Linked DNA regions of Neodiprion lecontei. The protein of the gene in region 1 purifies or fractionates together with the protein of each later gene. This does not show direct contact. Links are inferred from orthologs where the notes say so. Each region holds a gene or a part of one and is shown on either strand. Other genes may lie near its edges.

Region 1 (7,657 bases):
ACTGAACTAAAGGTAAGGAGGATAACATCGAGTTTTCTCGTTGCAGATACTTGAACAAAATTGAATTTGTGTATCGCTCCAGGATCACATCGAAGGTCAATTAGTTGAACTAGAGGAACTGAGCTTGTTGAGAGACGCCAGGCAAGTTTTCATCGACGAAGTACTAGCGGAAAAGGAGCGAGCTAGAAAGGAAGAGGAATACTGGCGAGAAATTCATCGGGTCGCCACCCTCATTCAGGCACAGTGGAGGGGGTACATGGTTCGAAAACAAATCGGCCCCTTCAAAGGGCTCCGAGCACGGTTAAAGAAACGCAAAGGCAAGGGTGGCAAAGCCCAGAAGATGGCTGGAAAAGGACGTAAGAAGCCTAGGACTTCACCCTCGAAAAAGAAAAAATAACCATGAACCAAACTTCAGAGTTCTTCGATTAAATATCTCATCACAGCACGTGACGCATTATACCGAAAAAAATAAAATTGACCTTATCACCACAGTGATTTTTTAATTGGAATATTCGAGTAATGTTTTACTTTTTTATTACGCGATAATTCCATACTACACCTGTTTTTGGAATATGTCATATACGTACATATACTAATCTTCCGACTTTTTTTTTTTTTTTTTTTTTTACTACGTTATATTTCAAGCTACTTTGCTGAATTCGACTTTAGCCAGTAACTTGTTTATTTTTACAACAATGTGATATGTTATCCCCTTTTGTTTTATTTCCAAATATCACAGAAATTAGTATTGAAAGATGGGATCCCAATCATCTGAAATAATACTGTAAAAAAGATAAATAAAAATTTTCTCCGTAGTAATATAAATTATTCAAATATATTTTTAAACAAACTTATCAGTGACACAGTATGTACAAGAACACACACACACACACACACACACGCGCGCGCATTTGTATATATGCCAACTTCTCGGGATACAAGACTACACATAATAGCCCAGCATCTGAAGTATCGGCATAATTTGATGCACAAATTACAAGTATGTACAATCATGCACGTATACATACACCCACCGCTTTTGATCAAAAGGGAAGTGGCACCTATTCCGTAGCTTTTGTTTTGGATTACGACGAGTAGAGATGATACTCACTATCCAAAGATTTACATCACTCGTCCTGTATGTATATAATAATATACGTGTTGAGACTTCTAAGGGTAAAAATAAAACATTTACAAACGAAAAATTAATTATTCACGCTATAATAATGTCTTTTGGACCCTGGAAGTCTGTTCACTTCTCACGTCGTTTCGATTTTTTTTTATCATATTAAAGAGAACTTCGCAACAATTAATTGCACCTACGAAGATTAGAAACTTATTAATGGCTTCACGCGAGTATCCGCAATAGCTGTTTGGCAATTGAGAGAAATCTGTGTCTACTCTGTGAATAAGATCGGAACATTGATATCTCTCGAAATACGAGGAGTTAACTGAAAGTTCCGTGTGCGTGTAGAAGATTCATCAACTTTTTCACGCCCAGTTGCAGAATCGCAAACTGTTTCTAATCCCACTAGCAATTAATACGATAAAAATTAATTTCAGGCAGCTTGATTCTTTTTTTTTACACTAATTGCCTATTCCGAATCAGAAAAAGGAAGAGTAGTGGATACCAGAACGAAATAAGAAATTGTGCTTTCAATATGTATAACTATATATCCATTACCGTAAGACCTCGACATGTGTTTGTAAATCATATGAATGTAAAGTTACATATTCTTTTACGAATAAATAAAGGCGAGTCAAAGAAAATGTAAACTTTAGAACGTAAACGCAATCAGTAAAGAGGACTCCAGCATATTACCAATTACGTGCTGCAATCTTGTTAACAAGTGATGCTGCTGTACCTTAGAAGTATATTTTTCAACCTGAAGTAATTTAAATTCAGGGTCAAAGAGCAATGTAATAAAAATGTGAGAGCAATTGAAACGATTGCTCATAGATATCATACAGTTTAATACAGTAAAATCTGTTATTGCATCTTTCGACAAAGATTGTAGTTCTACTTCCCAAAAATAAGATGCTAAAAAATTCGGTCAAACTATTGTTAGGATTTGTCAAATTTTATTTTCGTAACACGAAAGCCAAGTAACGGTATAACAGATCAGCCCAGAGCACGATTAAATAAATTTTCTCAATATCTCATAACCTATTTCAGTACGAAAATTTATGTATTTAGTTCGACCAGATTCAAAGTTTTGTGTATAATAAACATATGGGTATTAATAATGTTTTGAAGATAAAGTAAGAGTAGTTAGGAATGAATTCACGTAATTTCTATTAGATTTTGTAAACCCAGTTTCAGTGAAAACATTCGTTGTATGCAGCGGCTATGTAAAAAAAAAAAAAAAAAACTAAGTGACAAACACGGTTGCCCAAGGTATTTCACCACTTCATTACTGAACATTTTTTATCGTAAATAAATAAGCGGAACTCGGGTTCAGCTTAAATGGGACGTAGCCACTTCAGGAAGTAATCCTAATAATTTCGAACCCCAATTTACAGTGCTTTGGTAATAATTGCGATATGAAGAGATGAAGCTATCGATTACTACAGGCAGTATGAACGCATGAATTTAAATGTACAACATTGAATCGAAAATTTAAAATGCATCTGAAGCGTTTGCTGAAGATTTCTAGTATAATATCTTGTGAATGTTTATCTCTTGTTTCACTTAAACAAGAAAATCATGAGCAGTTTGAAAAATGTGCATAAATTAGAGACTGTCCTATTACGATTTCTTTGGTATCCAGTACTCTTCGATAATTCGGTCAAGCAATTTGATATAAAATTCACGTCTGCGACCTAAATTCACTCACACCCATTAGATAACCGACAGGAAAAGAAAGGCGGAGTTCTGCAGTGCGTTTAGTTATACATATTGTTGTAATAGCAAATGCCCGACGTGTTTTCGTATATCGTCGTCATTAAAAATTCAATAGAACTACTGAGTTTCTTGATTTTGCTAAGGGAAGTGGAACTTGAATTGGAAGGGTGAGCCGTGAGGGCGTGCGAAGTGTGAAAATTCGTGGAAGGGATTGAATCCTTGTTGTCGTCCAGATTCAGGATCTAGCGGATCCTCGCCCTGATCAAACTTTGCACGTTTTTCAGGATCAGTCAATACTTCTTTAGCTGCAGCGATGTCAATGAACTTTTTCTCTGCACGCTTCTTCTCTTCCCCTTCTTGGAAGTTGTCAGGATGCCATTTTTGAGCCGCCTTTCTATAAGCTTTGACGATTTCCTTTTTGGAGGCGGTTCTTGGAACTGAAAGGATTTTGTAGTAGTCTCGGGATTCTGATTGCTTTTGCAATCTCTGCGCTCTCTGAACACCATCCTTAGCTCTTTGCAAATTTGGATCTATTTCCAGTGCCTCTTTGAAATCCCTGATCGCTGTTTGAAATAAACGAAATTATGTTGTACTTGCATTCGATACAAAAAAATCTATACAACAAAACTTATTTGCTGTAACATACCATCGTCATATTGTTCAGCAGCAATGTAGGCTTCTGCCCTATCACAGAATAGGCCTGGTTCTCGTTGGATCTCGAGAGCGTCGTGACAATTTTCTATAGCTTTAGCAGGATCATTGTTACCAAGATGACATCGGCAGAGCAATTGGGCAGCTAGAAAACGCACATTTTGTACGTGCGGTTCATTTTTGAGAACACGCTTACTTCCGTCAATGCAACTTTCATAATCTTTAGCCTCTTCAGATGTCTCTGCATCGTTTATAAACTTCGCAATCTTCTTGACTTTTTTGTAATGTGGAAAGCACTGTTTGTGTTCCGGATCCAACTTTAAGCACTCCCGAATTTCCCTAACACACGAAATTGAAAGAAATAATTTTTGAACAATATATTAATATCAACTATTGAAAAACTGCTGCTCAAAGAAGACACTCACTTGAGAGACTCGTCGACTTGGCCCAGGCGATACAATAGCGAAGAGAGCTTGAAGTATCCCTGAGTATTGTCGGCCAAAAGTTTTGTCGTCGATCGTATATCAGAAACAGCGTTCATGTAATCACCTAATGCTGCATGGCTCTCGGCTCTCAGTTCCCGAAGGTGCGATGCCCAAGGGCAAACTTCTATTATTCGATTTATCAACTGAATAACTGCTGGATAATCACCACTTTGTGATAACACTTCAGCCAGCTGAATATCCTCCCTGACTGGAGATAATTTGTACAACCCATTCAAAGCATCTTCGTTCGACGGATCAAATGCCAGCTGAACAGACGTAAAAATCAATTATTCAAGTATTTGCCATTTTACTTTATTTGTATTCTGAGAAATCTTAGTAAATCAAATGATGAAAAGGCTACTCTCAGGATACATATCTAATCTAATCTGTTTCCAGCCGATTATGGTAAAGAAAGTGAAACAGATCGATTCTATACTTTAATACCATATGTGATCACATGAAATGAAGTATTATGTATGTAAACTGTGGTGGCTTGATCACTGCAATATACACGTTTATATTAAAGTAAGCGTCGAGCTTGATACAGTAATGTGAAACAACAGCTACAAGAACAATGCTTTCCAATAGAGTTGCAAGGATTGCAATTCCCATTTGCATTCGGTCTTTCGCTCCAAGAAAATCTTAGTAGAAATACGTAACATTCAACATAAATACAATAAGAATTAGACATTTAGACCAAAAAAAAAGTCAAATACTGGGAAAACTTACATAGCTACGGTTATGAGGAAATGGAGGTATCTTGAGTCAGAAACACTTACCACATTATGAAAGTCGACTTCAGCTGCGTCTAATTCGGCCTGTTTCAACAATACGTTACCACGCTGTAATCTAGCGGCATGAAAATCAGGCTTCAATTCCAAAACTTTGTCCAAATCAAATAAGGCGAACTTTGCTTTACCGAGGGCTAAGTACACCGTACCTCTTTTGTAATATGTGAGGTAGTTATTCGGATCACCCTCTGCGTAAGTAAAGAAAATTGAAGCGTCATCACATGTGTTTGTAATTTTAGGGATTGACTGAATCAACTGTGACGTACGACAAAGAAATCAACAGGTTTTCAAAAAGTCTAGAAACATCAGAACGAGCTGCCTGTCTTTGATGAACTATAATTTTTGATGTGTGTAAACGAAGAAACAGAATTTTCGGATAAACAAGAATAGAAACACTTGACCGAGGTAAAAGTTAAATCATATAATTATTCATGTACAAAATTCACTCACCCACTGCGGCATGATAATGGGACAAGGCATCTTGAAGTTGACCTCTGGCTAAAAATTCCCTCCCTAGTTCTAAATGCCTGTCAATCTCGGCCTGAGAAACGCTCAGAGCAGCTGTGAAAGTGAAAAGCGTTCAAATTGTTTAAATGCTCAGCCGAGAGAAGTGCAGGCAATGGGAAGAGAAATAGTTTCGCGAAAAAGGTTAGAGTAACTCACCATCTAAGGACCGTTCTAATACAACCAGTATCAGCCAATATTGAAACATGACTGGAAGAATCGACGTTTGCAGAGGTTGTTTTCCGTTGGATTATGCTTCAAACTTAACAACAGTGTACACAAACGTTGACTCGCCTCCCCGATATCGCAAAACTGACTAGCCGTACCGCCATTGCGATCGTGGTCTATCCTCATTGGTCCAACTCATTGAACTTCATGATCGAGGAACACACGTGATTACGTCCGCAAATTAGGCAGCGTGTCACGACGGCGACTCTATTTCACCTTCCGTAAGTAGATGCTACGCCTATGGCATCCGCGTAATCACCCATAAATTTGAAATTTGATATTCTTTCGCCAACGAAATGGCCAAGGATTAAAAAATTATTCGATTTATCACGAATCATGTAGAATACGTTCAATGTTACAGCAGTCAAATAATAGCCGCATAGTCGTGAGGCTCTTGGTTGTTCGAAAGAAGTAATAAGTGAAAATTTATATTCTCATAGTTTTTGGCAGAATACAAAAAATATCGGACGATAATCAATCGAAGCTATTCAGATTCGATACTACCCAATGTCTGATAAAAAAAAAGTCAATGCCTGATAAAATCCATTACTGGCACAATATTTTTATTGGCATTGCGATTAATATCATCACGGCACATGCTTTGCGACAAATTTGATAGACATCAATATACTTCGCAATTTACTCGAATACACGTAGGACAAACTGTGTAAACGAAAAAATCGTATCGAGATTAAATATGAAACCTTTAAAAATATTTATGATTTAACAAATTTTTAGTACTATACAAAGTTTGTAGGAGTTACGCCTTGTTTATTGATAATACTGAATAATTACATGACAATGCTTGAATTTGAAACCAGACCGCTCGTTTCTCTGACAGTATGTAATATTTATTGGTAATGGTATTATAGGATAAAATTGAGTACCTATTCGGTCACGAAATTAATAAATGTGAAAACGGCAGTCAACGCTCCAAAAATTTACAATCAATCCAAGATAATGAGCAATTTGTATATCACATCTGATGGACAAGTCAAAGTGTTCTCCAAAGATGAAATATTCTGAAGGAAATTGTACAAATGTTTGAGAATGCTCAACTTACAATTTTTCCCACTTTTCAAATCTCGATTATTATAGTATCGGATGTCCCGTCAAGTTCGAGGCCGTTGAAAAACTTGAATAACTTGGAAACTGAGTTTGTGAAAAAAAGTTTCAACAAATTATACAGACTAACGAATAAAGGGCACAGAAGGGAGAACGGCCTCGGATGTCTGTAGTAAATATCTTGCCTGTTTTGCATCCAACATTTCCATTCCACAAAATATTTGAATAACGATTATTGCGGATACAATGGATTCTGTAATTCAACATTGAAATCGGATAATTCCCTGAAATATAATTATTGCTATAGAGACCTTTATTACGGAACTGATAGAAATAAATACACTTGAAGCTGCATCATTCTTGTTGCTTTTATCTTTAATCTTTATTGTATCATTTGCTTTTAGCTATTCTCCTGTCACTCCTCACATCTGTAATAACTAACATAATACTACAAACAAACAAATAACGTTTGATCCGATAATCATTGTGAACGTATGCAGTACGATACATTCATATTAAATCAGATTGTTCCTTTGGAAATTTAATTAATCGTAGCCTTGCTGCACCAGTTTATTAATTACCCTAAACGGAATTGGGTACTCGTGTGAAATGCAAAGGAAAAACACGCGTTTTTAAAGCAGTATTTCAGGTATTTCATATGTTTAAGACAATAATGTACGTAGTTTTTTTTAATTATTGTTTTCTTTTTATTGATTGGAATACCTGCACAAGGTACAAGTGATTGGATTGATATATTTTTTTTGTGTTATTTTAATTTTTCTAGGTTTTTTTTTTATAATTCAACTAAGATAGCATATTAAACCTGTGATCACTAGTAAATCTCTGACCGAATGGTACATTCGCCAATGCGATATATCTATATCATTTTTTCTTTTACTATGAAAATTGTGTAATAATTATTTATTAGTAAAAATTGAAATGGATTGTGTATTAATTGGGCATGCACGTCGTTCGGTATGAAAAATTCTGTACGCAGATGATAAACTTTACTGCTACTTGTTACCTCGTCATTAAACATCGAAAGAAGTATATGCATAACGGATCAATTTTTTTCCTTTCTTCTCTCG
Region 2 (5,299 bases), on another chromosome or scaffold:
GTGCACCATTCATCCTGTGTCTTTTCCTTGAATATCTTGGCCAGCCGTGAACGACTTTCCTCAAAGTCTCCAAACTGGGGCAAGTCGTCTTCTGAAAGACCTAGTTTCTCTAACAAAACTGCATAGAATTGAGGCTCAAGGGCACCGACAGCCATGAATTGTCCATCCCTTGTTTCGTATGTATCATAAAAGTGAGCTCCTCCATCCAACCTGAAGTAACCAATTAAAAATATGAAAACAAATCAACACTTGTTGTCTTTTGAATGATAATCTATCCTAATTTTCCCTACAAATTTTTTCCTCTGGGTTGTCCCCATAGTCCGGCAAGTCCTTGCGAGCGGTATAACCAGCTCCCCAAGTATGCTGAACCCTCAACCATAGAAACATCAATTACTTGACCCTCATTACTCCGTGTTCGTTCCAGCAATGCAAGGACTATGCCGAAAGCACAGGTCAAGCCGCCACCGCCGAAGTCTGCAGTAAGATTTACAGGTGGAGTTGGTTTCTCATGGTGTCTACCGAAGAGCGAAAGCAGACCTGTGTAACAGCTTTACTAGTCATTATTTTATAGCGATAGATATTAAATCATATCAAAATATTCTGAAGATTTGCGATTGTCTTACCAGATAAACCGACATAATTTATATCGTGCCCAGCCATCTTGGCATATGGACCAGTTTGTCCAAATCCACTTAGCCTTGCGTAGATGAGTCTCTTGTTTTTTAGCATTAGAGTGTCTGGACCTAGTCCCAGTTTTTCCATAGTGCCTGGTCGGAATGGATCAAGAATAACATCGCTCTGTTGAGACATCTTTTTCAGTATATCAGTACCCTCTTTAGACTTGAGATTTAATCCTACAGAACGTTTTCCATTGCCCAAGAAATCAATAGCAATATTTGGCACTTCACTGGAAGCCTATAATGAATGCATATGATTTATTCATTAAAAATAATGTCAATTTTCTTGGACTTTTGATGTTCTCAATACATAGTCTGAATACTATAGTTTATTAAAATTCTTACTCTGTCTACTCTGACCACTGATGCCCCAAAATTTGATAATATCATACCACAAAAAGGTACTGGTGCGAGTCCGGCTAGTTCGATAACTTTGATTCCTCGCAGTGGCATTTTGAAACAAGATCAGATACCAGGTATGTTTCCGTTCTACTGAATTACAATGTGCTCTTATACTCAAAAGCTTATAGACTTACTGGATTAATCTTTTACTAGTAATCTTATCCCTACTTTGAAACGTTTGGAACTCATCGGTCAAGAGAGGGGATAGCAACCGTTGCGTAAATTATCAGCCGCTGAAAATACGCAGAGAGCATACGTACCGATCTCACCTAAAGGGGTGCCCTGGTCGCTTTCGACGTCGACGTATATATTATCTCTAAATATCCAAGTCCACGTATGTCAAACGCGTAAAAGGGCTCAACAGTTGCATTCTATACGCAATCCTGAACAAAAACAGTACAATGTGTTTTCTTTAGACGCAGAAACATAGAAATGGCATGGATTCTACGAAATTGCTATAGTAAATCGTAGAATTCATGCCATCTTTTTATATCTGCGTCAAATGACACCCCTTTAAACTGGCATGTACGAGGATGTATCAATATACATTATTAGAAAATAAAAAGGGGAAACCCACGGCATTTGGGGTGTGTTCGTAAATATAATTCCGGGATAAGACTCACCATCTACCGTTGGTAACTGGTACGCTAATTATAAGCCGATCGACGTATTTTATGGCGAAATGAAAGAGGGTAGCCAGCTTAATGAAAACTACGTCAACACGTAGAGCAAAAAGTAAAATTATTCGAAATTAGAATATAAGATTTATTCGAAAAGTACGTAATTCACTTCACTTTTTATTATAGGCCGTCAGGCAGCTCAAATACCAAACAATGAAACACCACGGAGTGAGTGTGACGAAGTTTCTTATCTATCGGTTTTTTTTTTGTTTATGTCAAATCGCGTCAAGCCAATCACAGAGAACCACGACCAGAGTTGGATGTGGATGCACTTATACATGACGCTACGTATGGTGATAGCTAAACGTCTGCTAGGATGGCAGCGGCACAATTAACCAGGATATTTCTAGTCAATTTAATTCTATGCGTTCTATTTGTACTGGCCGGGTGAGTCTAATTTTATCATATAAACCGAAATCATATCTTAACCAAAAACGATCAATCATTAAGTCACAAATGCTTGTATTATGCTATTAAAAAGAGAGCAGTCCAATACATAACCTCGAATCTTTTTATTAAGACAAATCGTTGACGTGTATATGAAAATCATTTAAAGGAGGGACTTCTACTCCATCCTCGGGGTATCACGAAATGCAAATACCCATACAATAAAAAAGGCGTACAGAAGATTGGCCAAGGAATTGCACCCGGATAAGAACAAGGATGATCCGGACTCATCACAAAAGTTCCAGGACTTGGGGGCTGCCTACGAGGTTCTCTCTGACACAGAAAAAAGAGAAATGTACGATAGGTGTGGTGAGGAGTGTCTGAAAAAAGATGGCATGATGAACAATGCCGATCCCTTTGCCAGCTTCTTTGGTGACTTTGGATTTCATTTTGGCGGTGATTCACAGCACCAACATGAAACCCCCAAGGGAGCAAACATTGTCATGGAACTGCCAGTGACGTTGGAAGAACTTTATAGCGGAAACTTTATAGAGGTTCGATATCACTTAGCTCAAACTATTCGTGTTTTGATTGAATTAGTTTCATTCCAGGCTGTCTGTTGAAATCACTGATAATAATTTCGATCAATTCTAATTTAAAAAGTATTTTAACGTGATTGTTCGAATAATAATTATACTCCGTGGACTTAGTTTCATATTATCACTCTTCAAAATAATGCAATTTTGTAGTAATGTTATTAATTTGGCGAATCTGGTTATGAATGTTATAGCTTGTTTCACAATAACTAGGCCTCTAATTTATTATGGTCATCTGAAAATTAGTAGAGTTGAAGGCATCTGATTTGAAGACAGTTCTAATCTAGTTTTTTTGGATCATGCAGATAACAAGGAACAAGCCAGTAATGAAAGCTGCCGCGGGAACGCGAAAGTGTAACTGCAGGCAAGAAATGGTAACACGAAATCTAGGCCCAGGTAGATTCCAGATGATGCAGCAAACAGTTTGCGACGAATGTCCGAACGTCAGATTAGTAAACGAAGAACGGACACTGGAAGTCGAAGTGGAACCGGGGATGGTGGATGGACAGGAAACGAGATTCACTGCCGAAGGGGAACCGCATTTGGATGGAGATCCCGGAGATTTGATAATCAAGTAAGGTCAAAAAAGGACAGGGGGGATGTGTTTGCAATGAGAACTGCATGTTACTGTTGATTACCATTCAAACAGGGAGTAGCCTTTCTGTATTAATGTGAAAACTTTGTTAAATTTCCAGAATACGCACCCAACCGCATCCCGTTTTCGAAAGAGTTCAAGATGATCTTTATGCCAATGTGACTATATCTCTGCAGGACGCTTTGATAGGGTTCACTATGGAGATCGATCACCTAGATGGGCACAAAGTCACCATACAGAGGGATAAAATAACTTGGCCAGGAGCTAGGATCCGAAAGAAGGGCGAGGGCATGCCCAATTATGAAAATAACAACCTTCATGGTACTTTGTACATCACGTTTAACGTAGAGTTCCCAAAATCCGAATTTTCGGAAACCGAAAAAGAAGGTAAAAATCTTCGTTATGACTTACTTTGTTTTCTGTACCTCCCATTTCGATAATTTATGGTTTTATAATGCATGCAAGGATTGTATTAGTGTAGTGTATAACTGTCTAATTCTACTTACAGATATCAAGAAGCTCCTGCGGCAAGGTTCTGTAAACAAAGTGTACAATGGACTAAGAGGGTATTAGTGAAAAAAATTAAATCAACAATTAAGAGAATTATCAATAATGAAAAAGAATAACGTAGCAGGCAACATCATGAATTGTGCGCCAACGAATGATCCGTCGGCGTTATTTAAGAAGGGCTCAATAGTTTACGATTTCCAACTACAACTCGTTCAATTTCCGCCAAGTTGTTTAAAGATTGACATTCATATGTAAACAAAAATAGTTAATTCATTATTAGATTCGATAATTTTGTATGTTTGACAAACAGTTAATTGAAAATGTTGCATGTTATGATGCTGCGTCTTGTTTCAATTATACGGATGTTTTTTGAACGTAAAAATACATGGAGCACATGTCGCAGCATCCTAGCCGGCTATAAAGATTTCTTCTAATTCTCTTCAAATAACATGAGATAGAAAATTTATAATGACTGCCTTACGTAATGTATTTCATTATCTTTATTCTACTGAACAAGAACCGAACGGATGATGTGTAATTTATAAGTTATTATTAGTATCATTATGATTACTGATGTGTGAATGGCCAATAGGATGCGCAGAAATTATTGCGACGCATAGACTTAAGAAAATTTTTGCATTAATAATGTACAACTATTAATATATGCAATGCATGATGATATTCACAAGTTATGCAGTAAGTGAAAAATCAATAATGCAGTATTTATTTATTCATACCTTGTACGACTGCAGCCACATGCTATTCCCTCGTCGATTATTATCAGAAAACAAATTGCTCCCCTCTCTTGGTCGAGTCAAATCGATACAACGATTTTCGAATGACACTTCAAACTCTTATAATTATTGGCAGAACAAAAGTCGCGCCAAGAGACGTACAAAACGAAATATATCACCCAACTCACGATTGTTGACATTTTTCAAAAAACCCCGAAGACCCGACAAAAAATCCCCAGTTTATAAGCGCTTATCGGCGAAATACTGGAAATAATACAAGAAATATAACTAAAATACTGTTGCCATTATTTCGACAGGCATGAAATTGCACCTGGTGTCTTTTTTGTACCTAAAATGATCCTACAGTCATAACAAAATTTGAAGCGTGTCAACGGCCGCCATGTTGATTTTATCCCGGTGTTTAAATTCGGTGTAAAGTAAACTAACAAGTAAAAACATGTTTTCCACACAACTTTGGCAAACTTTCCACCTGAGATACGCTACTACACGTCAACATTTGTATCTAATTAAAATTAATTCTGTATCACAGTTTCAAAAACAAAGATGCGTAGGTCGGGTATTTGAACTTGTTCCCAGATAGTCGGGTTCACTCTTCGAGCGAAACCTGAATTCAAATACGTGATCGTGAAATAACGGCTCAACATTGTATAATATTTATTTAAAATACTATAAAATATCAAAAGTATATAACATCCAT

Evidence for each region.
Region 2: the proteins of dnaJ homolog subfamily C member 3 (region 1) and dnaJ homolog shv purify together in Homo sapiens (affinity purification with mass spectrometry; 3 studies listed by BioGRID and IntAct, with this or other methods). This does not show direct contact. The link is inferred for Neodiprion lecontei from reciprocal best matches to the Homo sapiens genes DNAJC3 and DNAJB11.

Annotation. Positions count from the first base shown.
Region 1 is NC_060263.1:26,116,395-26,124,051, reverse strand, and holds dnaJ homolog subfamily C member 3, read right to left. Parts: upstream 5,630-7,657; 5' UTR 5,485-5,629; coding exon 5,436-5,484; intron 5,334-5,435; coding exon 5,223-5,333; intron 4,961-5,222; coding exon 4,761-4,960; intron 4,248-4,760; coding exon 3,922-4,247; intron 3,836-3,921; coding exon 3,492-3,835; intron 3,409-3,491; coding exon 2,984-3,408; 3' UTR 606-2,983; downstream 1-605. Other genes in the region: dynein regulatory complex protein 9, read left to right, coding at 1-12, 83-397. UniProt on the Homo sapiens protein: Involved in the unfolded protein response (UPR) during endoplasmic reticulum (ER) stress.
Region 2 is NC_060261.1:31,356,392-31,361,690, forward strand, and holds dnaJ homolog shv, read left to right. Parts: upstream 1-1,985; 5' UTR 1,986-2,075; coding exon 2,076-2,146; intron 2,147-2,315; coding exon 2,316-2,700; intron 2,701-3,047; coding exon 3,048-3,316; intron 3,317-3,437; coding exon 3,438-3,724; intron 3,725-3,845; coding exon 3,846-3,910; 3' UTR 3,911-4,559; downstream 4,560-5,299. Other genes in the region: alpha-methylacyl-CoA racemase, read right to left, coding at 1-210, 291-537, 624-915, 1,023-1,130. UniProt on the Homo sapiens protein: As a co-chaperone for HSPA5 it is required for proper folding, trafficking or degradation of proteins.